Linked DNA regions of Alligator mississippiensis. The protein of the gene in region 1 binds, or shares a complex with, the protein of each later gene. Links are inferred from orthologs where the notes say so. Each region holds a gene or a part of one and is shown in the gene's direction. Other genes may lie near its edges.

Region 1 (7,670 bases):
GTGGAGGGCTGCCAGGCTGGGCAGGGGCAGAGCCGACCCCATGGCGGGGCAGTGGGACAGCTCGCAGGCTCCATTCATGGGGCACAACTGTGGCCCATACACATCCCTGGAACACAGGAGCCCAGGGCTGGGGAGGAGGGTGGGATCGGCCCCTGGAAGGAAATGGCAAGGTCGGCAGAAGAAAGGGCAAGTAAAAGCAGCTGGGACGAATCCAGGCTGGAGAGCAGAGCAGTGCTTCTCCTCATGGGAGCAGTGCATGTGGCTGCACAGCCTCTCCGCAAGGCAGCAAGACCCATGAGAGTGGAGCCTAAGCGGTGGATTTAAAACAATTTTTTTTTAGAAAAGTATGTTTTTATTCAAATATTATAAAAGCCTAAGTCTGTCTGTCTGCCTGCCTGTAACACTTTATTTGTGCTCTGATTGGCTGACAAACAGCCAATCAGAGTGCAAAGAAACATTCTCACAGAAGGCAGCCCTCGGCCTGGACGGAGGGGGGTGGGGGGCGAGGCCGGCAGGGTCCCGTCCCCCCGCTCCCTGCAGGTAATGCGGGGTGTGGGAGCGGCCCGGGCCCACCGTGGTGGGGAGGGGAGCAGGCAAGACCCAAGCAGCAGAAGGGAAGCAGGAGCAGGTCGGGGGGAGGGCTGTCCCCGCCTGTCCCTCCACCCCCGTCATTCTTGACAGGCAATTGGCTAGTATATGCGTAAAAGTAAGAGTTATTCGCACCTCCACCTAGTCACCTGCCATCACAGACCTTCACTCGCACCGCAGAGCGCAAAACGCCCGCCCGCCCCGCGCCGCGGCAACCTCCGCCGGCCCGAGCACTGGATTTCTTCTTGATTTTTAAGGAGGTTTTTTCGTGTCCCGGGTCAAATTAGCCCGATCAGGCCCAAATCCATTCGAATCACGCAAGGACCACACGTGGCCCTGCTACCGGCAAGCGTCCCGTGTCCCCCCGCCCCGCCGCGCCTTCAGAGGCTTCCAAACCCTGCGACGGCCGGCGCCCCGCGGGCCCAGCCCGAGGCCTCGGCTGCCCCGAGCTTCGCCTGCCCTGGCTGTGCGGCTGCAGGAGCAAGGAGGGGGAGTCTCCCGGTCCCATAAAGGGCCCTGCAGCCCCTCCTGCGCCATCCCGGCACCGGGGAGGGGGGCTCCCCTGGCTGGAGCCAGACGCCCCCAGGGGCCCTCACAGTCCAGGGGGCGGGCACCCGGGTTTTCGGGGGCGGGGGGCAGGGACTCGGGGACCTGAGTGCCCGAGCGGCCCCCAAACAAACCCAGCCGAAGAACGCGCCCCGCTACGCCGCAACGGTCAATGCCGCTTTTCTGCGAAAGGGCAATTCTGCTAAGCGGCTTCGGCACCCTCGCACGCGGAGTCACCTCGCCCCGTCTCTGATTGGCTGGCGGCGCCAGCTCCCGGCCCGCCGTTGGCTGAGCTCAACTCAACACCCGCCCCCTGCCTCCTCTCCGCCGTTACCAGGCAGACCAGCTCCCGTGACGAGTTCCGCCCCCGCCCCGCTCGGATTGACGGGCAGCTCGGCCAACCCGCACCAGGTTCCGCCCCTCCAGTTCTTTTGCGCGCGCCTGATTCCGCCCGGAGGGAGGCGGGACTTCTACCTCGCCGCGCCGCCAATCCGAAGCCGCCACCTCCCGCAGGAGCCAATGGGAGCACAGGCGGCAAAGGGCTCGGCCTCCAAGGGGGAAGGGCGGAGGGAGCGCGCGGCCAATGAAACGGCGGGAGCCGCAGGCTAGGGCCAGGACCCGGCGGCCGTCGCAGCCAATGGGAGCGCGGGGCGGGGCGGATTTGAAGCGCGAGGCGGCAGCAGCAGCCGTGGGTAGGGGAACGCGGAGGTACTGGGGGCGTAATGAGGGGCCGCGGGGCAGGAGCGGCGTGCGGAGGGGACGGGGCTGCTCCTGGCGCTGGCATCGGGGTCCGGGTTGGGGGGACAAGATACGCCCGGCCCGCGGGGCGGGTGATGCGGGCGCACGGGGGGGGGTCTCCTGACTCCGCCGGGCGGGGGACGGAGGGGCCCCATGGAACTGACGCCCCCCGCCCCCCAGGATGGCCCACAAGGAGAACGTGAACCCCGGGGCCCTGGGCAGCCTGGCCAAGGTGAGCACCTGGGGGGTCTCTGCCCTTTTGGGGGGTCACGGCCCTGCTCCCTCCGGGGCTGGCGGATCCTGCTGCGATTTGGGGCCCCGTGTTGCTCCTGCCCCGGCGGTGAGCGGGGGGCTCTGGGGAGGGGGCTGGGGGGCATCTCCACCTCACCCCCCCCCCCCGTGTCCCCCTCACAGTATGGTGCGCCTGGCCCCCAGCGTGTGCCGCGCAAGGAGACACCCGCCGAGGCCCTGCTGGCCCAGCGCGCCACAGGCAAGACGGGGCCACGACCCGCTGGGCCCCCCCTCCTCGCAGGTGCTGGTGGGGCGAGGTGGGGGGTGCACACATGCTGGGGGGGTGGGGGGGTAGGGGTCGGCTGGGGTTGCACTGACTCTGCTCTCTGCAGCTGTGCCCGGGCGGGTGCCCGTCGAGGCTGGCGCCCAGGTCGCTCCGCAGCCCCCCCTGTAAGTGCCCATGTTGGGGTGGGGGGTATGTTGGGCTGGGATTCTCCCCCACTTCCACTGGGAGGGGCAGATGCCCCTGTGGCACTGCCCCTTGAACCAGTCCTGGAGGCTGATGCCCCCTTGGGAAGCCCCTGGCTGTGTTAGGGTGTGAGGGGTGCTGTACCCCCCCCCCAGACACACACTTGCTTCCCCCCCAGAAAGACGCTGAGCATTGAGGACTTCGAGATCGGGCGCCCGCTGGGCAAGGGCAAGTTTGGCAACGTGTACCTGGCGCGGGAGAAGGGGTCGCATTTCCTCGTAGCCCTCAAGGTGCTCTTCAAGTCGCAGATGGAGAAGGAGGGTGTGGAGCACCAGCTGCGCCGCGAGATCGAGATCCAGGCCCACCTCCGGTGCGCCACAACGGGACTGCGCCACCCCGTTGTCCCCTGCTCCATCTAGGGTGCGAGGGGTGGGGGTGGTCTCACCTCCTCCTCACTTTATTTCTTTATCCCACCAGGCACCCCAACATCTTGCGGCTCTACAACTACTTCCACGACCGGCGCCGCGTGTACCTGATCCTGGAGTACGCGCCACGCGGCGAGCTCTACAAGGAGCTGCAGAAGTGCCGCCGCTTTGATGAGCAGCGCAGTGCCACGGTCAGCCGGGGGGTGGGGGCACCCTCCTGCTGCAGGCCGGGTTGGCTCTGGGCAATGGCAGGCACCGAGGAGGCTGGGGGGGGTCTCCCCAGGAGGGGAGTAGGTAATTTTGGGGGGCTGGGGTGCAGGCTAGCCTGACCCCCTAGGGTCGGGGGGCCTTATGTGACCCCCCCCTCCCTTTACCCCCCCCCCAGATCATGGAGGAGCTGGCAGACGCGCTGATCTACTGCCATGCCAAGAAGGTGATCCACCGCGACATCAAGCCTGAGAACCTGCTGCTGGGCCTCAAGGGCGAGCTCAAGATCGCTGACTTCGGCTGGTCGGTCCATGCGCCCTCGCTGCGGTCAGTGCCAGGGGGGCGGGGGCAGCGCAGGGGGTGGGCTGGGGCTCCCCAAAACCAGGCTTTCACAGCCCCTTCTTGCCCCCGTAGGCGCAAGACTATGTGTGGGACACTGGATTACCTGCCGCCTGAGATGATTGAGGGGCAGCCGCACAACGAGAAGGTGGACCTGTGGTGCGCCGGCGTGCTGTGCTACGAGCTGCTGGTTGGGCACCCGCCCTTCGAGAGTGCCTCCCACACTGAGACCTACCGCCGCATCACCAAGGTCGGCCAGCCCCCACGTGTCCCACCCAGAGCTGGCTGCATCGTGGCAGCAGGGATGTGTAGAGGGGGCAAGCTTTATGCCCAACCCCCGGGGTGGCAGCATTGGTGCTGGGGACCGGGGCCGTGTGTGTCCCGCACCCCAGAACCAGCTGCACCCCTGCGCTGGGGGTGGGGCGCTACGCGCAGGTGACACCGGCCCCATGTGTGTTCCCACAGGTGGACCTGCGCTTCCCGCCTACCATGCCCGAGGGTGCCCGCGACCTCATTGGCAAGCTGCTGCGGCACGTCCCGGCTGAGCGCCTGCCTCTGCGCGCTGTGCTCGAGCACCCCTGGGTGCGGGCCAACTCCCGCCGCGTGCTCCCCCCTGCCTATGCCCCCTAGCCCCCTGCTCCCCTGTGGGGGCCTGGTCCTACCCCCGTGGGCTGGGGCTCCCCCCCATGTTGTCATCTTTTTGTGTTTAATAAAAGTCTTGATTTTTACAGCTGGGTTCAGGTGCTGTTTTTCTGGGGGGGCATGGGGCACGGGGTGGGGCCCCTGGGTGGGCACACTGCTAGCACACGTGTGTGCACCTGCATGGCCCGGGGGCGCAGTCCTGCTGGGGGGGGGGGGCAAGATCCCCCCTCGCAGGCCCCTGGGGTGGAGGGAAGGAGCCTGCGGGGGAGGGGGGACATGCCCTTCCAGGGGCTGTTGCAATGACTTCCCCCTGCTGCTGCTGCTGCTGCTGCTCCTCGGGGCTGGTGCTGTAGTTTCCATCAGGGACCCTCGTTGCGGGCCTGCTGCCATGGTCGCCCCGTTCCCTGCCCCGGGGGCTGTTGCCATGGCCCTACTACCCCCCCGCAGTGGGGCTGTTGCCATGGCCCCCGCCCCCCCGCGGTGCCCGGATGTGCGCGCAGAGCAGCCGCCATCTTCGCTCCGGCACCGACCGAGCCCGCGCCCCGCACCCGGGCCCGGCCCCGGCCCCGGCCCCGCACCGCCCGCCCGGCCCGGCCCGGCCCAGCGCGCCGCCTCGTCCCGCCCCGCCCCGTCCCGTCCCGCCGCCGGACATGTGAGCGCCAACGGGCCGGGGGAGGGGAGGGGAGCGGGGGTCGCCCCGGGGTCCGGCCCCCCCGGGTGTTTCTAGCGGGGGGGGCGGGGCCGTGACGCCAGTGCCGCGCTCGGGACCAGGGGGCCCGACCCCCACGGGGGCTGCGCCCACCAGCCCCCACAGCCGCTGCCCCCAAAGGGACCCGGGGCTCGCGGGCTTTGCCCCCATGGGACCGCAGGCCTCGTGCCCCAGGGGCTGTAGGGGCTCGGCCCACCGTGTCACAGGGCCCCTCTGGCCTCGTTCAAGTGCGGCCCCCAGCCCAGGGGCCTGGGGTCACCCTGACTGGCCCCCCCTCACCCCACCCCGCCCCGCCCCGGGCAGCGCAGGGACTCTGAGTGTTGGCGCAGGGCAGGGCCCATGGGGGCGGCGGGGGTGAGGGGCACTGTGGGCCCCTTGGCCAGGGCCTGAGCTCTCCCCCCTGCCCAGGTCGGCCCCCGCTGCTGCCACCGCCCCCCCTGCCGCCGGAGAAGGGGGGGGCCCGCCCCCGCCGCCCCCCAACCTCACCAGTAACCGGAGGCTGCAGCAGACCCAGGCCCAGGTGGATGAGGTGAGTCATAGGCTGGGGGTGGGACGGCACCTGGACACCTGGGTCCAGTGTGGGGGGGAGGTAGGGAGCCCCAGGCCTGACACCTCCGCCCTGCCCGGCCCCGCAGGTGGTGGACATCATGCGGGTGAACGTGGACAAAGTGCTGGAGCGGGACCAGAAGCTGTCGGAGCTGGATGACCGCGCGGACGCTCTCCAGGCTGGCGCCTCCCAGTTTGAGACCAGCGCCGCCAAGCTCAAGCGCAAGTACTGGTGGAAGAACCTCAAGGTACGGCCCCGCTGCAGCCCCTCGCTCCTGACTTGCAGCCCCCTGCCCCCCTAGCCCTGCCAGTGCCCCTCACTCCCGACTCAGCCCCGTTTCTTCCTGCTGCACTCACGGTCTCTCTCCTGCAGATGATGATCATCCTGGGGGTGATATGCGCCATCATCCTCATCATCATCATCGGTGAGTCCTGCTGGGGGAGGAGGGGGGTGGTCCAGGAAGCCCTGGCAGGGGCCCCAATGCTGGCTGCATCTCAGACCTGGGCCAGGGTCTGTTATACTTGGCTGTGACCCACCTCAGAGCTGACTGCATCTCACCCTTGACTCAGGGGCTGTTATACTCGGCCTGACCCACCCCAGAGCCAGTTGCATCTCAACCCTTAGTCACAGCCCTTTTATACATAGTCAGGACCCACCCCAGAGCCGGCTGCATCAAACCCTGGGTCAGGGGCTGTCATACTCAGCCATGACTTGCCCCAGAGCCAGCTGCATCTCAACCCTGGGTCACAGCCCTGTTATACTCAGCCAGGACCCACCCCAGACCCAGCTGCATGTACCTCAGCCCTGCCCCGTGGAGCTGACGGCTGCCCTCTGCTTGCAGTGTACTTCAGCACCTAGAGGCCCCGTGTGGTGCCGGCCCAGCCTGGCCCGGCCGTCTCTTCCAGCCCTCGTGCGTGTGCGTGCGTGTGCGTGTGCCCCCTCCGCGCCCCCCCTCCCCCCCTGGCCGTCTGTACATACCGGGTTATTTATACACACATAGAGCTGCTCTATTTTGTCCGTTTGTAGATTTATTAATAGGTTTTTAGGTGTCCCTCCCCTCCCCTGCTGTGTTTTTAATTGTCTTTTAATTGCCCCGCCCCCCCAGCCACCCCCCTAGTGGGGGAGGGGGTTCCATGATACTGCCCCCCTTGTCCCACCTCAGAGGTGGCTGCATCTCCTGCCGGGCCGCGGTCTCCTCCCCATCCCCCCAGCTTCTGTGACATTCCTGATTAGACCAAGGGGCGTGGGGGAAGCCCCCCCTGCACCCCACCCCCTTAATGGGGGCATTTTCTTCCTGCCACACAGATCTAGCCTGCCCAAACTACCCCTTTTAGAGGGGTCACATTCCACCCCCCCCCCCCGGTGTTGGGGGGCTGGCCTGGCTTGGGGGGGTCCCCTGTTAATCCTTTGGTGGCCAATGTCAGGGGGCACTAGGGTCCCTGGTGGCCAGCAGGGGGTGCCCCAATCCTGCCCCCCTTCGTGTGTTGTGGTGGTGAGTGCCCCCCCCCTAGCAGATGTCAGATGTGACTCGTGACTTTGTCCCTGTGATGACTTCGCTGGACCCGCGCTCCGGGGGGGCTGAGCCCAGGGGCATCCCCGCCGCTGCTGCGTGGAGGGACGTGGCACTGGGGACCCCCTGGGCAGGCGGAGGGAAAGGGGGAGAGGGGGGCTGGGCCCCCAGCAGGGGGGTGGGTGTCACTGTCACCCCCCTGCTCTTGGGGCCCCCCTCAGCAGGCAGGCAGGCAGGGGCGGAGGAGCCGGGAGCGACGTGATGCTGTGAAAATGTACAATAAATTGGTGTCCTGTGGAGAGCACTGCCTCTGGTCCCTCTGTCCAGCCCACCTGGGGATGCTGCTGCCTCAGCCAGAGGTGGCAGCATTGGGGCCTACCCTGGCAGCACCATCACTGTCCTCCAACTACAGCTGGGGCCTGCTCCAGCCTCAGGAAGGGGTCCCTGCCCTCTGCCTAGGTTTGGGGGAAGCCTTTGAATTGATCTGGACTCCCTTCAACTCCTGGAGAACCCAGGCGTCCGGGCCCCTCACGCACGGAACCCAGGCGTCCGGGCCCCTCACGCACGGAACCCAGGCAGCCAGGATTCCCAGGTGTCCAGGATTTACATGTGCATACATGGAATGCAGGTGTGCGGGACTTGCGCACGTTCACATGGAACCCAGGTGTGCGGGATTTTGTGCACACAGAACCCCGGCGTCTGGGACTCTCATGCGCGTA
Region 2 (7,041 bases), on another chromosome or scaffold:
ACTGTGAAAAATGTCTTCCTAATATCTAACCTAAATCCACTCTCAACTAATTTACACCCGTTATTCCTAGTCACTCCCTGGGGCACCTTAGTAAACAGCGCTTCCTCTATTCCCCACTGACCTCCCCTAATAAATTTACAGGCAGCCACAAGATCTCTCCTCAGCCGTCTCTTGTGAAGGGTGAAGAGATTCAGCTCTCTCAACCCCCCCCCCAGTAGGGTTTATCACGAAGGCCACTAATCATGTGAGTGGTCCTCCTCTTGACCCTCTCCAGATTCCCCGTGTCCCTCTTGAAGTGCGGTGTCCAAAACTGGACACAGTACTCCAACTGCGGCCTGACCAGTGCCACATAGAGGGGGGGTATCACCTCCTTTGTTCTATTAGTCATGCACCTGCTAATTCACGACAAGGTGCGATTGGCCTTGTTTATTGCTCTCATTACACTGCCGGCTCATGTTCATCTTGGAGTCAATTATGACTCCAAGATCCCTCTCTGCCTCTGAGCTGCTGAGAAGGACACTCCCCAACCTATAGGTGTGCTGGGGGTTCCTCATTCCCACATGGAGTACCTTACATTTATCTTCATTAAATTGCATCCTATTTCTCTCTGCCCATTGATCCAACCTGTCCAGGTCAGCCTGAATCTGCTGCCTGCCCTCCGGTGTACTAACTTTGCCCCATAACTTGGTATCATCAGCGAACTTGGAGAGGGTGCTCTCCACGCCCTCATCCAAATCGCTGATGAAGGTATTGAATAATATCTGTCTGAGGACCAAACCCTGCGGGACCCCACTGCCCACCTCCCTCCAGGCCAAGAAGGAACCATCCACCACCACTCTCTGGGTGCGGTCCCTAAGCCAGTTGGCCACCCACCTGACCGTGTAGGCATCCACTCCGCATTCTGCTAGCTTCCCAATGAGGATAGGGTGCGAAACTGTGTCAAAGGCCTTCCTAAAGTCCAGGAAGATGACATCAGCCTCAGCTCCCACATCCAGGCAGTGTGTGACCTGGTCATAGAAGGCTGCAAGTCTTGTCAGGTAGGATCTACCTGTGACAAACCTGTGCTGGTTTCCCCTCAGCATCGTTTCCCCTGCTGGGCCTGCACAAATGTGTTCTTTGATTATTTGCTCTAGCATTTTCCCAGGAATAGAGGTAAGACTGATTGGTCTAAAGTTACCTGGCTCATCCCTTCTCCCTTTCTTGAAAATGGGCACCACATTGGCCCTTCTCCAGTCCTCAGGGACCTGGCCGGAGCACCATGAGTGCTCGAACAGCTGTGCCAGCGGCTCAGCTATGACACTGGCCAATTCTTTTAGCAGCTGTGGATGGAGGTCGTCCAGGCCTGCTGACTTGTACCCATCCAGCTCCTCCAGGAGCTCCTTAACTATTTCAGAACTAACCGTAGGCAGACTGGTGCCATGTGGACATCCATCAATGATTGAGGTGGGGGAACTGACTTGGTCGGTACATAGAAATACTAAAGTGAATAACTCATTGAAGAGCTCTGCTTTTTTCCCCATGTCAACCACCAACTGTCCTGATTTGTCTTGCAGGGGCCCTATGTTGCTGCCATCAGTTGAGAGGTGCCAGACAAGTGAAAGTCTGACTTTACACTCCAGCATCAGAGGGTGCACAAGATAGTGAGTCTCTCCTGAACACTAGCAATAAGGAATAGCCCATCTCCAGGTCAGACAAGTGCTACTTTTTTTCTCTCCAGGAGCTTTAGCGCATGATCAGGGCAGTAGCAGCACAACATGTTGGTGTTTTGAAAAGACGAAAGTTAAGAGAAACTTGATTCACTCCCCCCCCCCCCCCCCACACACACACACATACATTTTGATACTTAGCAGGAAAAGTTGGAGAATAACATGACACATCACACATATATGATTAGGCTGGCTTCTGGAGGCCCTGCATGTGGCAGCGGCCTCATTTGCTGTAGATACCTAGTAGGAGACAGTTCTTCTATGAAGATCTTGTACTCCAAATAGTTGCAGACAGATTGTTAGAAGAAAATGAAGCCACAGAGATGGAAATGATTTGTACTTCCCAGCAGGGAAAATTACCCAGTACTGAGCTTGGTGCTGCTGTGGCTAAGCTGTAGCCAGTACTCACTAAGCTGTAGCTAGTACTTGGGTATGCTTCTAGCACTGTCTTCAGTGTAGGCATCTGCAGTGAAAGGCCTGGAAGATAATCTGATATTCTGAGTCTTCGTCTAGCACCTTATCCACTGCATAATGGACAAAATCCTGATCACTTCTTCAAAAATAAGGATTGACACGTTTGAGACAGCAAGGGCACCTCTCAGAATAATGGAACCTAAGAATAGCATTAGAAGGGCTGTATCTTTTCTTGCTTCCCCTTGTCTCCCACTCACCTTCTGTCATCTGGGTCTTATGAGCACATTAATGTGTTCTCTTGGAACTCCATGAGAGAGAGAGATGTTCTTTTATGTTCGAAGTGCCTTTTCTCTGCAGTGATAAAGCTTCCACTGTGGTTTGCACGGTGTGGGGCAGGAATATGTCTTTCTTTGTGAAGATGCATTAAATGAAACATTCTCAAGTACAAAAAAAGAAAGGATGTAGAGGCAAGTTCACATCTTGTACCAGCAAGGACAATGGCACTTAGATCTACCATGCTATATAGCCTCAAAAAGTGTTTTAAGTAAGTATAATTATTCCCACTTTACATGTGTGAACACTAAGGTACAGAGAAAAGAAGTGACTTGCCCCAGATCACGTTTGCCAGAACCAGGAATAGAAACCAGGTTTCCTGAGTTCTTAGGCAAGTGTTCAGTCCTCCAAGTTACCCTGCCTTTTTCTTTTCTCTCATGACTTCAGTGATGTTAGGATCAGAGCACATCTGCACTGAGAATACTGGCAATTGCTGTCAGCTGCCCCACCTCCATCTTGCAGCAGCAGATGGTGGGTAGGATGCTGCTTTCATCTCTCCTCCCCGTCTAGCATGTCCCAAGAGGCTCCAAGGAGGGATCAAAGCTCTGCTGTGCGGGGTGCTGTACAAACAGCACAGAAAGGTGGTCACCACCCCAAAGCTCTTGCAGTCTGCTTTTGAGGCTCGGTCATGTTGGACACTACATAGATGGAGGCCTAGGAATGTTAGTTGTCTTGTAGCAGGGATAACCCTCCTCTTGGTCCTGTGCTGAAGTCACTGAGGTCCTGCCTGAGAGACACAGGGCGCACCAAGCACGCAGCCCGTGCAGGCCTGATGGGAGACCAGGCCTGAAAAAGCACCGATGTCAGACAAGAAATTTAAGGCAGGAAAACGTGCTTGCATGACAGAGCTGCTAAACAGCTCTTCTCTGGCATGCTCTCCGTGTACCCGCCAGATGGTGGCAGCTTTTCTAGTAGCCCAGTCGTTCTGAAGCTTTCTAGAGTCTGGGCACCCCCAGGAACTTGTGCCAACTGAGTGGCTCATCAGTTCAAAAGCCCGTGATGTGTGTCTGACGGCGCTTGCCTCTTGCAGAGGGGCCAGGCAGTGGGTGGAGGGGGGTGGTCCTCGCCTGCCCTTGCACTCGCTGCAGGCACCTTCAGGGGGTCTCAGGCACCCCAGGGCACCCCCTCCCCTCCACTCCCCATCAGTACATCGCCAGAGCGCCACCGCCACCCTTGGCGAGCCCAGCCCTGCCTGTAGCCCTGGAGAGGCCGCAAAGCCCTGGTGCTCTGGGCACCTTGCTCCGGTTTCACCGAGACCAGCGTGTGGCCCCGGCTGGGCGGCCCGCAGCCCTGCAGCGTCTTTGACCTTGAGGGGCGCCGCGAGGCCGCGGGCTCCCTCAGGGCGCGGGGCTGCAGCCCCTGGGCGCCGCGCACCCACCGGGACTGGCGCGGAAAGCCCCGGCCCCGGCCCGCACGCAGGAGGCGCGGGCAGGCCCCGCCGCATGCAGCAGCCTCCCCCGGCTCCGCTTTGGGGCGGGGCGGGGCGGGGCGGCGCGGGGCGGGCGGCGGCCGAGGGCGAAGCAGCAGCATCAGGGGGAGGCGGCGGCGGAGGAAGGAGGGCCGGCGGCGGCAGCGGCGGCGGCGGTGGGATGGTCCGGAAACCCCGTGATAAAAAGAGGCAGCGGGGAGAGCGGGAAGCGCCGGAATCGTCCTCCCCGCGCTGCGCACGCTGCAGGCGCCCGCGCCCCGGCTCCATGTGACTGCCCCGCACCACCGCATGGACCCGGCCCGCGGCAGCGGCGGACGCTGAGCGGCTCGGCCGGGACAGCACAGCACAGCGCAGCGCAGCGCGGCGCAGCGGCTCCGCGCCGGCCGCAGCGGCAAGGAAGGTACCTCCAGGGCCCGGGCGGGCGCGGGGAGCTGTCCAGCCCCGGGTGCTGGCGGCGGGCGGTGCCCGCGAGACGGCGCTTCAAAGTGCGGCCGCTCGGGCGCGGGCTGCGGTGCGGGCTCGCGGGGGTCCTGCTCCGGGGGGCGCGGGCTGAGGGAGGGTCCCGCTTCCCGCGCTGCCCTCGGCCCGCGGGGGCGCTCGCTGGCCGCCCTCCCTCTGCCCGGCCGGCTGGGGCTCGGGGCCGGGGCGCGGCGCGGCGCGGGGGCCCGAGCGCCTCACCTTGAAATGCCCCCTCGGCTCCGCTGCGGAAACGCGGGAGCGGTGCAGGGTTAACCCTTGCCCGGCCGGCCGCGTCCCGGCGGTGCCCCGCGGCGCGAGCAGGCTGTGCGGGCAGCGCCGCGGGGCTCCCCTGTCCCGTGGCCCGCGGCTCCCACCACGACCTCGTTCACCTTGACTAGCACCTGGCTCCTGCGTGCGGGACTCCCGCCCAGCCGGAGCCTCCCCACCTCACTGCAGAGCTGGGGGGCGGTGCTACCCAACGGAGCAAAACTTGAGCCGGCAGCTGAGCTGCCCTGGAAGACGAGGACAGCAAGCCGCTAGAAAGGCCACCCAGGGCAGCACAGAGAGAGACACAGAGAGATGCTGTCTGCCTGCCGGTCCCAAAGACAGACCCCCGTCTCTTTTGTTTTGTTTTCTTGTCTTGCCCATTCCTTGTAGGTGACCACCCCGGGACTTGGTTCTGTTCATCTTGCATGTGAGATCTGAACTGGAGCGGAGGAATCTAAAGCCATCACCATGGATTTTGTCATGAAACAAGCTTTAGGAGGTAAGCCTAGTTTTGTGCATGTCATGCAGCAGATCTGATAAGGGCTTGGGTTCTCTCTGTCACTTCGTCGCTGTCCCCTCACTTTTTCACGTGCGTCTGCAGCACACCCGGGTAGGAATTTTCCCCTTTAAAATCACATGGGAGAATTCACTGGAGAACCCCAAATGCAGTGCCACTGAGCAGATGAAGCAATATTGCATTGCCACAACTTATTTTCTTTTGAATGCGTCCTGCAAATGTCTTCACAATATACCAAACATTCTGGCACTCATACATCTGGCAAAGCAGCAAGGAGTACGTTTACTGCTTTGAACTCCAGGGGGCAGCAGGAAGTGGAGTACCATAGGACCTGGTTCAAGTCAATGGGAATTTTTCCACTGACTTCAATAGACTTTGAATTGGGTCCATAATCCATATGGCCCTGGGTGCCCCAGGCAAGCAGACACATTTTAATCTCTAGCAGCTGGTCACCCATACATATTGTTGCTCACAATAGTATGCTGCCTTCAACGACTATGATTGTTTCAACCTGGTGTGCTAGTTATAGATCTGCTTGCTATTAGCAGATTTTACATATCTAGAGTAAGGCCAAACTAAGTGGCAAAATTCAATATGTGAGATCTCACCCTGAATTCTATTACAGGCATGAAGCTCTGTTCAAATTTTGACTTAAAGTCAAATAGTGCAGATATTTCAAACTGCGCACAAGACTAGTCAGGTTTCTAGGACTACTGCAACAGAGAGATCCACTGATCTGAGCCAAAGACCTTTCTCCAAAGGTGTGCTGTTAGAGCCTGATCTTTAACATTGCATAAACACAGCTCCTATTGCATGTAATAAACCTGTCTAATTATACAATGCAAACAACAAAATGAAATAAAAGCACTCATGATATTAATAAAGGAATTCCCTCATTCTGTTGGCATTATGCTGCCTCTGTGACCCATTCTGATTCAGCAGAAATGCCACAAGTCGCATATTTGATATTGCTGGCTGTATGTTAGGTTCATGGGATATTAAGGCCTAATTGGAGGCCAGTGGTACAATTTAGATTTATTCATTTTGTTTCTTATCTGTTCTTTTTTACTTTAGATAAATTATAGTGTCATCAGACCTACTGCAGTTATTTTGTACTTGTTATTGATATCATTTGCTGTTTAAACTGATGATAGATTTTTACCACAAGTCGCTTTTCGTTCTAAGAATATTCCGTATTTACCTATAAAATGCAATAAAGAAGCCATTTTAGATTGAAAAAATAGAGCAATAAAATGCCTGACTCTGCATTGAGGGTAAAAAGGTTACATTTTAATTTCTTTTTCTTCACTTTAATTTCTTATGGGTTTCACCTGCCGGTTAGGTAGACTATACCTAAGCACATAGTTGATACCAGGGACTTGCATGTTGCTTACCAGTGTGTTGCCATATTTAATTTAAAATTCAATGCACACTTTAAAAGGGAAATAATTTTACTGAGTTCTGCTACGCTTACTCAAGCTGAATAGTATCAGTAGTATCCCATTGAAATTAATGGGATTACTCACAGAATGCAGTACTCAGCAGTGCATTTATGGGTGGGAGAATCAGACTTGTTGGACCACTTACACTGATTAAAGGTGGCATAATTTTTCCCTTGCTGGAGGAAGGAGAATATACAGAAGAAAAAATATGAAATGTTTTATGATGTGGAATTGTACTTAATACATAACAATTAAGGTGCACAGCCGTAACTCTGGATTTGAAATTACTTAGAAGGAAGTGATTGCCCATGGAATAGCTAAGGATCAAAGTCCAGCCTGGCATCAATCCCAACAAAATGCCATGTGCCAATCTCAATATTTGCATTATGATGTTAGCATTTAAAAAAGCAGTATTTTACGATTGTCGGCTGTCTGTGGTTTTGACATTTTTGAGGTGTCAAGGACATACTGCTG
Region 3 (7,432 bases), on another chromosome or scaffold:
CTTAGCCAGTCGGTCCCCAGCCTGTACTGGTGCATGGGATTGTTCTGTTTTAAGTGCAGGACTTTGCACTTATCCTTGTTGAACCTCATGAGATTCCTTTTGGCCCAATCCTCCAATTTGTCTAGGTCACTCTGAATCCTAGCCCCACCCTCAGCATATCTACTAATCCCCCCAGCTTGGTGTCATCAGCAAACTTGCTGAGGGTGCACTCTATACTATCTTCCAGGTCGTTGATGAAGATGTTGAACCAAACAGGCCCCAGGACCAACCCCTGGGGCACTCCACTTGATACCAGCTGCCAACAAGACATTGAGCCATTGATTACTACTCTCTGAGCCCAATGCTCCAGCCGATTTCTATCTACCTTACAGTCCATTCATCTAGCCCATACCTCCTTAGCTTGCCTGTGAGAATGTTGTGGAAGACCGTATCAAAAGTCTTGCTAAAATCAAAGTACACCACATCTACTGTTCCCCCACATCCACAGAGCCAGTCATTTCATCATAGGAGGCAATCAGGTTGGTCAGGCATGAGTTGCCCCTGGTGAATCCATGCTGACTGTTCCTAATCACCTTCTCCTCCAAGTGCTTAGAAATGGGTTCCTTGAGGATCTGCTCCATGATTTTTTCCAGGGACTGAGATGAGGCTGACTGGTCTGTAGTTCCCTGGATCCTCCTTTTTCCTTTTCTTGAACATGGGCACCATGTTTGCCCTTTTCCAATCATCCAGAACCTCTAAATTCCCTCCATTAAGAGCTGATTTTAAGATCAGCATATGGTATCCATGCCAACAGTTCACAAATGTTATGAACTGCCAGCCCAATGTCACCCTCAACATTTCTCCTGGACCCACGCGACACTTTATAGTCAAGCATGTCAGTGGAAAAGAGTAGAAGGGCCCAGTAAAATCTGCAGACAGCACTGTGTAAACCAGTGAAACAGGCCATCTAAGGGAAAGACTGTAACAGTGGTTTACACAGTGCGGTCTGAATAGAGGGGAATAATCACTTGTGTCTTGTTTTAGGGAAAGGCTGTCCAACTGGCAGCCCACAGACCACATGCAGCCCATTAGGGATTAACATGCAGCCCCTGGACTCCCACCTGGCTGCTACTGTCCCCAGCACTGGCTGAAGCAGCAACTGGGGTCTCAGGCTCCCGCTCCCTCTTCCGCTTCCACTTCCACCAAGGGGATAGGGTCAGGTAATACAGCCAGCCCATGATGCCAGGAGAGCTGGTGGTCCAGAGTGCCCATGTGGAACAATGCAGCATGGGAGGTTGTGGCCAGGGAGCTGAAGGTGAGGTGCAGTACCACATGCAGTGCAGCAGGGAGGCACCTGCCTGCATGTCTGCACATGGTGTGCAGCTTGGGCCCATGGCCTCAGCACCCATGTGGCCTCTGCAGCATGTGGCCTCTGCCGGTGCATCCTATAGGGCATGTAGCTCCCAGCTGCCCCTAGAAGATGGACAGGCCTGGATTAGAGTAACAACATACCTCTGTAGCCCCCAGTTTGAACACCTTGGATGCATCATTAATAACCTTCAACCCCTCCTGGAAAATGATGACCACCTCATCACTGACCTCAGAGCAGCTGTTCTTAAACAGCAAAACTTTAAAGATGAACTGGAATGGGAACTAGTAGAACAAGACATCATTCACGGACTAGATTGTGTTAAGCATGGTCTGAACAAGAATTATGGAATTTATCCCAATTCTTGGATTAGCTTTTGTGACCCCTTTGTCTTTATGGGTTTATAGCTTGTTTGCCTCTCCCACTCTCCCAGCACTGCTTCCCTGCCTCCCCACCCCCCTTTGTATTCAAATTAATTTCTCCATTTGGTAGGCTGCTCCATGCATTTCACAGCATCTGATGAAGTGAGCTTGGGGTACAGGAAAGCTTATGCTACAGATCTCTGTAACCTACCCTGCCTTCTGCCTGACTTCACATTAACATAGCTAACTACTCTCATCTTAGGGTAGCCATGGGGGACCAACCTGTCCTGGCTTCCAGACAGCTCCCCAACCTCAAATGGTGTCTTTCAAGCAACAGATTACTTAAGCTCTACTCTGAGGCACCAGTCTTTTCAGCAGACACAGATTCAAACTCTGCACCCTCATCAATGCATATCACATCATCACTGGACCAAATAATATGGATTATAACATCCAAGGTTCATTCAGCTGCACCTCTATCAATGTCATTACCTAGCTACAGTGCCTCTCTACTGTCTACATTGGACAGACAGGGCAATTCCTACATAAAAGAATGAGGGAACACTGATTTGATATCAAGTCCAAAAATACACAAAAGCCTTTGGTAGAACACTTTAACCTTTCTGTACCTTATGTCCCTGACTCATCTTCATGCATCTCTTGCTTATGAAAGCTTATACATCTCTGATTCACTTGGTCTATAAGGTGCACCTTTACCCTGCCATTTTCATGTTTTGCCCAGAGTCCTACCTAGTCCCATCAACGTGCTTCACAGCTTCTAATAACTACCTTACACAAAGGGCAGCTCTTTCATTCCCCAGGTTTCAATAATATTGAATTCAAACTATAATACTGGTATTATAATAGCATTCATAAGCTCAAAAAGCATCTCAGTTCCATAGGGGCTTGTACAGAGCCAGCAGTAAGAGAGACCCATTGGCTTGAACAAATTTTAATTTAACAAAAAGTAATGTTTGTCTGTTACATAGTAGCTATGTAAATTCAAAGGCAAAATTGACATAAATGTATTTGTCCTACAAATGCTAAGGGCAAGAATCAGGTGACACATTATCTTCCATACAGAAGGATCACCGAGTTTATTAGGAACATTTACATGGAATTAAAAATAATTTGGTGAAAACAATTGTATTAAACAAATAAACATTCCTTTGTAATGTTTGCAACCCAAACACTGTAGCATTATGCAAGCACATGGTGCACAAACACCAATTTCCATCCGTGGTTGTCCATAAATTTGCATCATTATGCAAATCTCTGTATTTAAGATTGGAACCCTGTGCCCTTTGCAGACTTAAAACAATTCAGATTGTAAATGGGGCTGCTGCCTAACGAGGCGTATTGCTGACAACACTGCCCTCTGCGCCAGTAGCCTAACAGAGGGGACACAACCAGGGCAGCAGCCCTGGGGAACTGCCTTTGCAACTGGTTGCGCTGCCCCATGCAGAGCCGCTGCCCTGTTTTATGTTTTCAGTCTGCTCTGATACTGGATTGAATTCCACCTTGAAACCTCTTTCCTGATATTCAAGGCCGTCATCAGACTGACCCTGATGTACCAATTCCCCCTCTGCAGGCTGAGCATTGCTACCTGTAAACATTCAAAAACCATGTCATGTCCTATCCCCCTCACCACATTGATTCAAGAACAGTAAATATTTTTTAAAATTCAAAACTCTTGACTTGCCTTCCAGTTTCTAAGCCCTTCTAGGCCTGCTGGCAAACCTTCCTCTATAGCCGCAAAGGCTGGGAACGTCTGGTTTTAAACGAAAGCTGAAACTCCTGCTTACTCCCAAGACTCCAGGAGCGGGGGCTTGAGGAAAACAGGCACAAGAGCCTATGTCAAGGAAAGCTTAAGTGCAATAAAGCTGATCTCTGGGCAGGCCTTTTTGACACCTTTTAATCACATGGGCCCAGGTCGCCAAGTTTCTCATTGGCCTCCCTCAGGCAAGGAGGCTACAGGAAAAGGGGACGTTTTGGGACAAATAATAAAAAAACAGCAATAGATGTGCTGGTCAGCTTATCTGTCCACCTTTAAAAAATGTGTGGGCCCAGCCCACCAAGTCACTCATTGGCTTCCCTTAGGCGTGGAGGCCACAGGAGAAGGGGACGACAGATTTCTTGGGACCAATAATAAAAAGCAGGGATGGGAGCATGGTCAGAGGTTGAAAACAAGCGTGTGGAGCAGGGACACTGAGCTGAGCACACCGGACAGCCACCGCTGGCCCTCAAATGAGTCTGAGAAGCCAGTGACACTGCCCAGTGATACTCTGCTCAGAGATGGGAGCACACTAGGGCAAGGGTAAGCAGCCCCGCAGTCCCCCAGCACCCTCCTTCCCCCATCAGACACAGCAGCGGGCCAGAGCCAGGAGGAGGTTGACCAGGAGGTGGGGGCCAGGGATGGGCAGCATGTGAATGAAGCAGTTTGGGGACTGGCCAGCTAGGACCTCTGCATAGGGCCGTGCAGGGGACTGGGCTGGATGAACCCTGAGAAGAAAACCAGTCCACCCAGGTACAGGGCAAAGCTCCGCACGAGGCAGCGCGGCTTAGACACTGAGAAGCCAAAATGGTGCAGCAAACCAGCGGTGCAGCCCCACGTGCCTTGCACGTGGCACCGGGGTGCGCATGCGCGGCTGCCTGGCTGTGCGCAGTGTGGGAAGGAACGTGGGCGGGGCGACGCGGACGGCCGCTCTTCGCTTTCCGTGGTTTGAGCTTCTGCGCTCGCCGTAGTCAGCTGATGCGACCCGGAAGTGTCCAGTGGCGGCGCTGAGGGGCTCGGGCGCGGGGATGGCTCCAGACCCCTGGTGAGCGGCGCCCGCCGAGGGGAGCGGCTGCTCGTCGGCCCCGGCTGCGGAGGGGCTGCTGTCTGTCTCGGGCGCAGGGCACTACTGCGGAGGCGAGCGCGGCCAGGGGCTTCCCCTGCAGCCGCCGCGGGCAGCGCGAGGCCGAGCCCCCAGGGCCGCTTAGCGGCGCGTGGGGCTGCGAAGGGGAAGGCGAAGCCCCCGACCCCCTCTCCTCCCTGCCCCCGCGGCCCCTCGTAGGCGAAGCGGAGTCCTCCGCGCACCCTCGGCCCCCCCGAGCGAAGGAAGGATGCAGCCCCTGAGGGGCAGGGGCTTCCTAGAGACGCACGTGGGTGGCCGAGGCGGAGGTCAGGGTTAGGTGCTGCTCTCGTGCCAAGCACTTACGCAGCCCGTGGGTCTGAAGCGGTTTCCAACTGTGACCCCCGTTTGCCTCTCGGAGATGTGTGCGTTTGAAATCCAGGCGACCCCCACTTAACGCTGTTTCGCCTAGCGCTGTTTCACTATAACACTCATTTAAAATTGATCCCTGATTTCACTTGGCGCTCAGTGAGTTTCATTACAACGCTTGCGGTTGCTGTCTTGGGTCATTAAAAACACTGTCTCAGATAGTCATATACTCTCGGTTTAGTTTAACGCTCTGTTTCTCGGGAACCAAATTAAGAGCACTAAGTGGGGGTTGCCCGCACCTGCTTCCATCCTGGATAGAGGTTCCCAAACTGGTAGGTGGACCCCTGAGGGGACGCAGGACGTCTCTGGGGGTATGGGGGAGAAACTGTGTAATGGCAGATTTAATTTTCGGTATAATTGGCGTTTAAGGGGTTGAAAATGTAAAATGTTGATAAATCTGGAAGGGGACACACAATAAGCAAGTTTGGGAACCTCTGCTGGAGAGAAGTAGCTGTTACCTCTGTTTTATTCCCGGCCACGTTAAGTTTTCCTGTTTTGGTTATCCGAAGTCTCATGCACCGTCCATTGCTGGTCCTTATCCTGGTTAAGGAACTTATTGAGGAATCTTGTTAAGACTGACGTACCTTTGGCATTGTGCTCAGTCTTACGAGCTATTTATAATTGGCCAGTTTGTCCATTGGAAAGTACTGATATTACCAGTGTGTAGAAAAGAAACAACATAAACCAGGACAGAAACATTTGAGATTAAATTAAATTAACTACAAAGTTGCCTTGAGTAATTCCCCTTCATGCTTAATCCTTTTGGCTTGCCCCATCCTCCTTTTCTCTTTCCCCCTTCACTTCACTTCCAAGGTAGGGTTTGATGCCTCCTTCATGTGATTGTTAGATACAAAATGCATCCTATCTGAGACAGTGGGCTAGGTCTACATGGAAATCATTTCTTAAGTGTTGTTGTTTTCTTCTTAGCTCTGCTGATTTAACAGTAAAAGGTCCACTAGTTAGTCCTAGTGGATCACACTTATGTTAAGATTATGCTGTAATAGGAAAAATGTAACTCAAAAGCTGTTATTAGTGATATATAATAACTTAAAATTGTTTTCTGTGATTATTAAAAAATGCAAGCTAGTACTGTAAATAAAAACCAGATACCACAATTACTTTGTCTGATATCTTTTGATTTACTTCTGAGCCATCACCAGGCTGGTTGTAAATAGTCTAAGGAAGAATGGGAATTTTTGTGTGTACCTGGTATAATGGGAGCTGCCCTTGACTTTACTATAGGAAAGTCTCTTCAGGAATATGTGTCCCTCTACAAGATGCTCCAATTTGATTTAAACAAAGATTATTGCCAATCTTTGTTGCTCTCATTCTTCTTAGAAGTGGCTAAGGGGGTTCTTGGTTGAGCACTTTTGAGGTCTCTGATTAGAGTTAGCCACAAGTTGCACCACACATCAGAGGACCAGAAATGTAATGCTGGTTTAAAGCAGGGGTCTCAAACATGTGCCCATAGGTAGGATCCAGCCCACTGGGCTGCTTGTGGGCACCTGGAAGTTGTAGGGAATGGCCTGAGAGAGTGGCCTGCCTCAGAATCTGGGGCCCTTGGGCCCCAGTAGACATAACAATTGGTGGCAGAAAAGCAAGTGAGGGCTGATACAGCCCTGGCTGCCCTCTGCCTGCCTCACCCATGACCCTAACTCCTCATCTGCTGGCTCCAGCACTTCCCCATACTGTGGCTACTCCAGTGATTCTGAAAGTTGGCAGTGACATTTTCAACAAATGTTACTACCGATGCCTTTAATTTTAGAAGTGAAACTACTTTGTGTTTGGCTCCTTTGTTTTTAGTATCTCAAACCTTAAAAATTTTCTGAAAAGGAAAATCTACCCAAAGCCCAGTCTTGACCAACAGAAGAGAGATTGAAACCAGGAACTCTGGCAGTGGTTGTCACTTGGAGAACTTTTCTTAAACTTAGATCTTTTTTACTTTTAGGCTGTCGATGTATGATTCCACTTGTCAAATTGCACAAGAGGTTGCTGAAAAGATCCAGGAACGTAACCGTTGTCAAAGAAATGGGGAAAGTTCATCAAAGGTACCATATCTTCATGAAAGACGTAAAGTTTGTGAATTTTTCTTTCAGCTTAAATTTTATATTTCATTATAAATGAATGCAGTGTTAAAACTTTAGCTTTGTTCAGCATAGTTTCAGGAAGTTAAAGCTTGCTATGGCAGATTCATTATCTTAAATTCAAGATTGAATGTAAAATTGTAAGATATGTTTTAGCTAAATAAAGTAACTCAATGCAGAGGTAACCGAATGAAGTTCTATGACTTGGATTTTGCAGAAGGTCATATTAGAGACCTAATGGTTTATCTGGCTTTCAAATATATGAAGCTTAAGCAATGTTGCAATAACTATTTCATTATAATAGGCATGTAATTTTAAAAAAAGTTTAAGTTTTATACAATGAAAATCAGAATAGAGCTTCTACTTACCTTGTAT

Evidence for each region. Proteins that work in one complex are often made in the same cells at the same time.
Region 2: the proteins of VAMP2 (region 1) and CPLX1 are in contact, whole or in part, in a crystal structure (PDB 1KIL), measured with the Rattus norvegicus proteins. The link is inferred for Alligator mississippiensis from reciprocal best matches to the Homo sapiens genes VAMP2 and CPLX1. Residues at the interface, in NP_036795.1 of Rattus norvegicus: Arg47, Val50, Asp51, Leu54, Asp57, Gln58, Ser61, Asp64, Asp65, Asp68, Ala69, Gln76; in NP_074055.1 of Rattus norvegicus: Leu41, Arg48, Tyr52, Glu56, Arg59, Glu60, Met62, Arg63, Ile66, Arg67, Tyr70, Gly71, Ile72.
Region 3: VAMP2 (region 1) and STX8 share a complex: the UniProt entries of both Homo sapiens proteins name them as parts of the SNARE core complex. The link is inferred for Alligator mississippiensis from reciprocal best matches to the Homo sapiens genes VAMP2 and STX8.

Annotation. Positions count from the first base shown.
Region 1 is NC_081838.1:25,064,568-25,072,237, forward strand, and holds VAMP2 (vesicle-associated membrane protein 2), read left to right. Parts: upstream 1-4,658; 5' UTR 4,659-4,673; coding exon 4,674-4,837; intron 4,838-5,302; coding exon 5,303-5,423; intron 5,424-5,529; coding exon 5,530-5,688; intron 5,689-5,813; coding exon 5,814-5,865; intron 5,866-6,282; coding exon 6,283-6,299; 3' UTR 6,300-7,252; downstream 7,253-7,670. Other genes in the region: AURKB (aurora kinase B), read left to right, coding at 1,718-1,842, 2,053-2,104, 2,287-2,404, 2,496-2,553, 2,751-2,942, 3,050-3,188, 3,383-3,531, 3,619-3,793 and 1 more. UniProt on the Homo sapiens protein: Involved in the targeting and/or fusion of transport vesicles to their target membrane. Major SNARE protein of synaptic vesicles which mediates fusion of synaptic vesicles to release neurotransmitters.
Region 2 is NC_081826.1:151,083,330-151,090,370, forward strand, and holds the start of CPLX1 (complexin-1), read left to right. Parts: upstream 1-4,031; 5' UTR 4,032-4,282; intron 4,283-4,854; exon of another isoform or gene 4,855-4,998; 5' UTR 4,999-5,076; coding exon 5,077-5,107; intron 5,108-7,041. UniProt on the Homo sapiens protein: Positively regulates a late step in exocytosis of various cytoplasmic vesicles, such as synaptic vesicles and other secretory vesicles.
Region 3 is NC_081831.1:20,450,562-20,457,993, forward strand, and holds the start of STX8 (syntaxin-8), read left to right. Parts: upstream 1-4,422; 5' UTR 4,423-4,512; coding exon 4,513-4,529; intron 4,530-4,595; exon of another isoform or gene 4,596-4,986; intron 4,987-6,921; coding exon 6,922-7,021; intron 7,022-7,432. UniProt on the Homo sapiens protein: Vesicle trafficking protein that functions in the early secretory pathway, possibly by mediating retrograde transport from cis-Golgi membranes to the ER.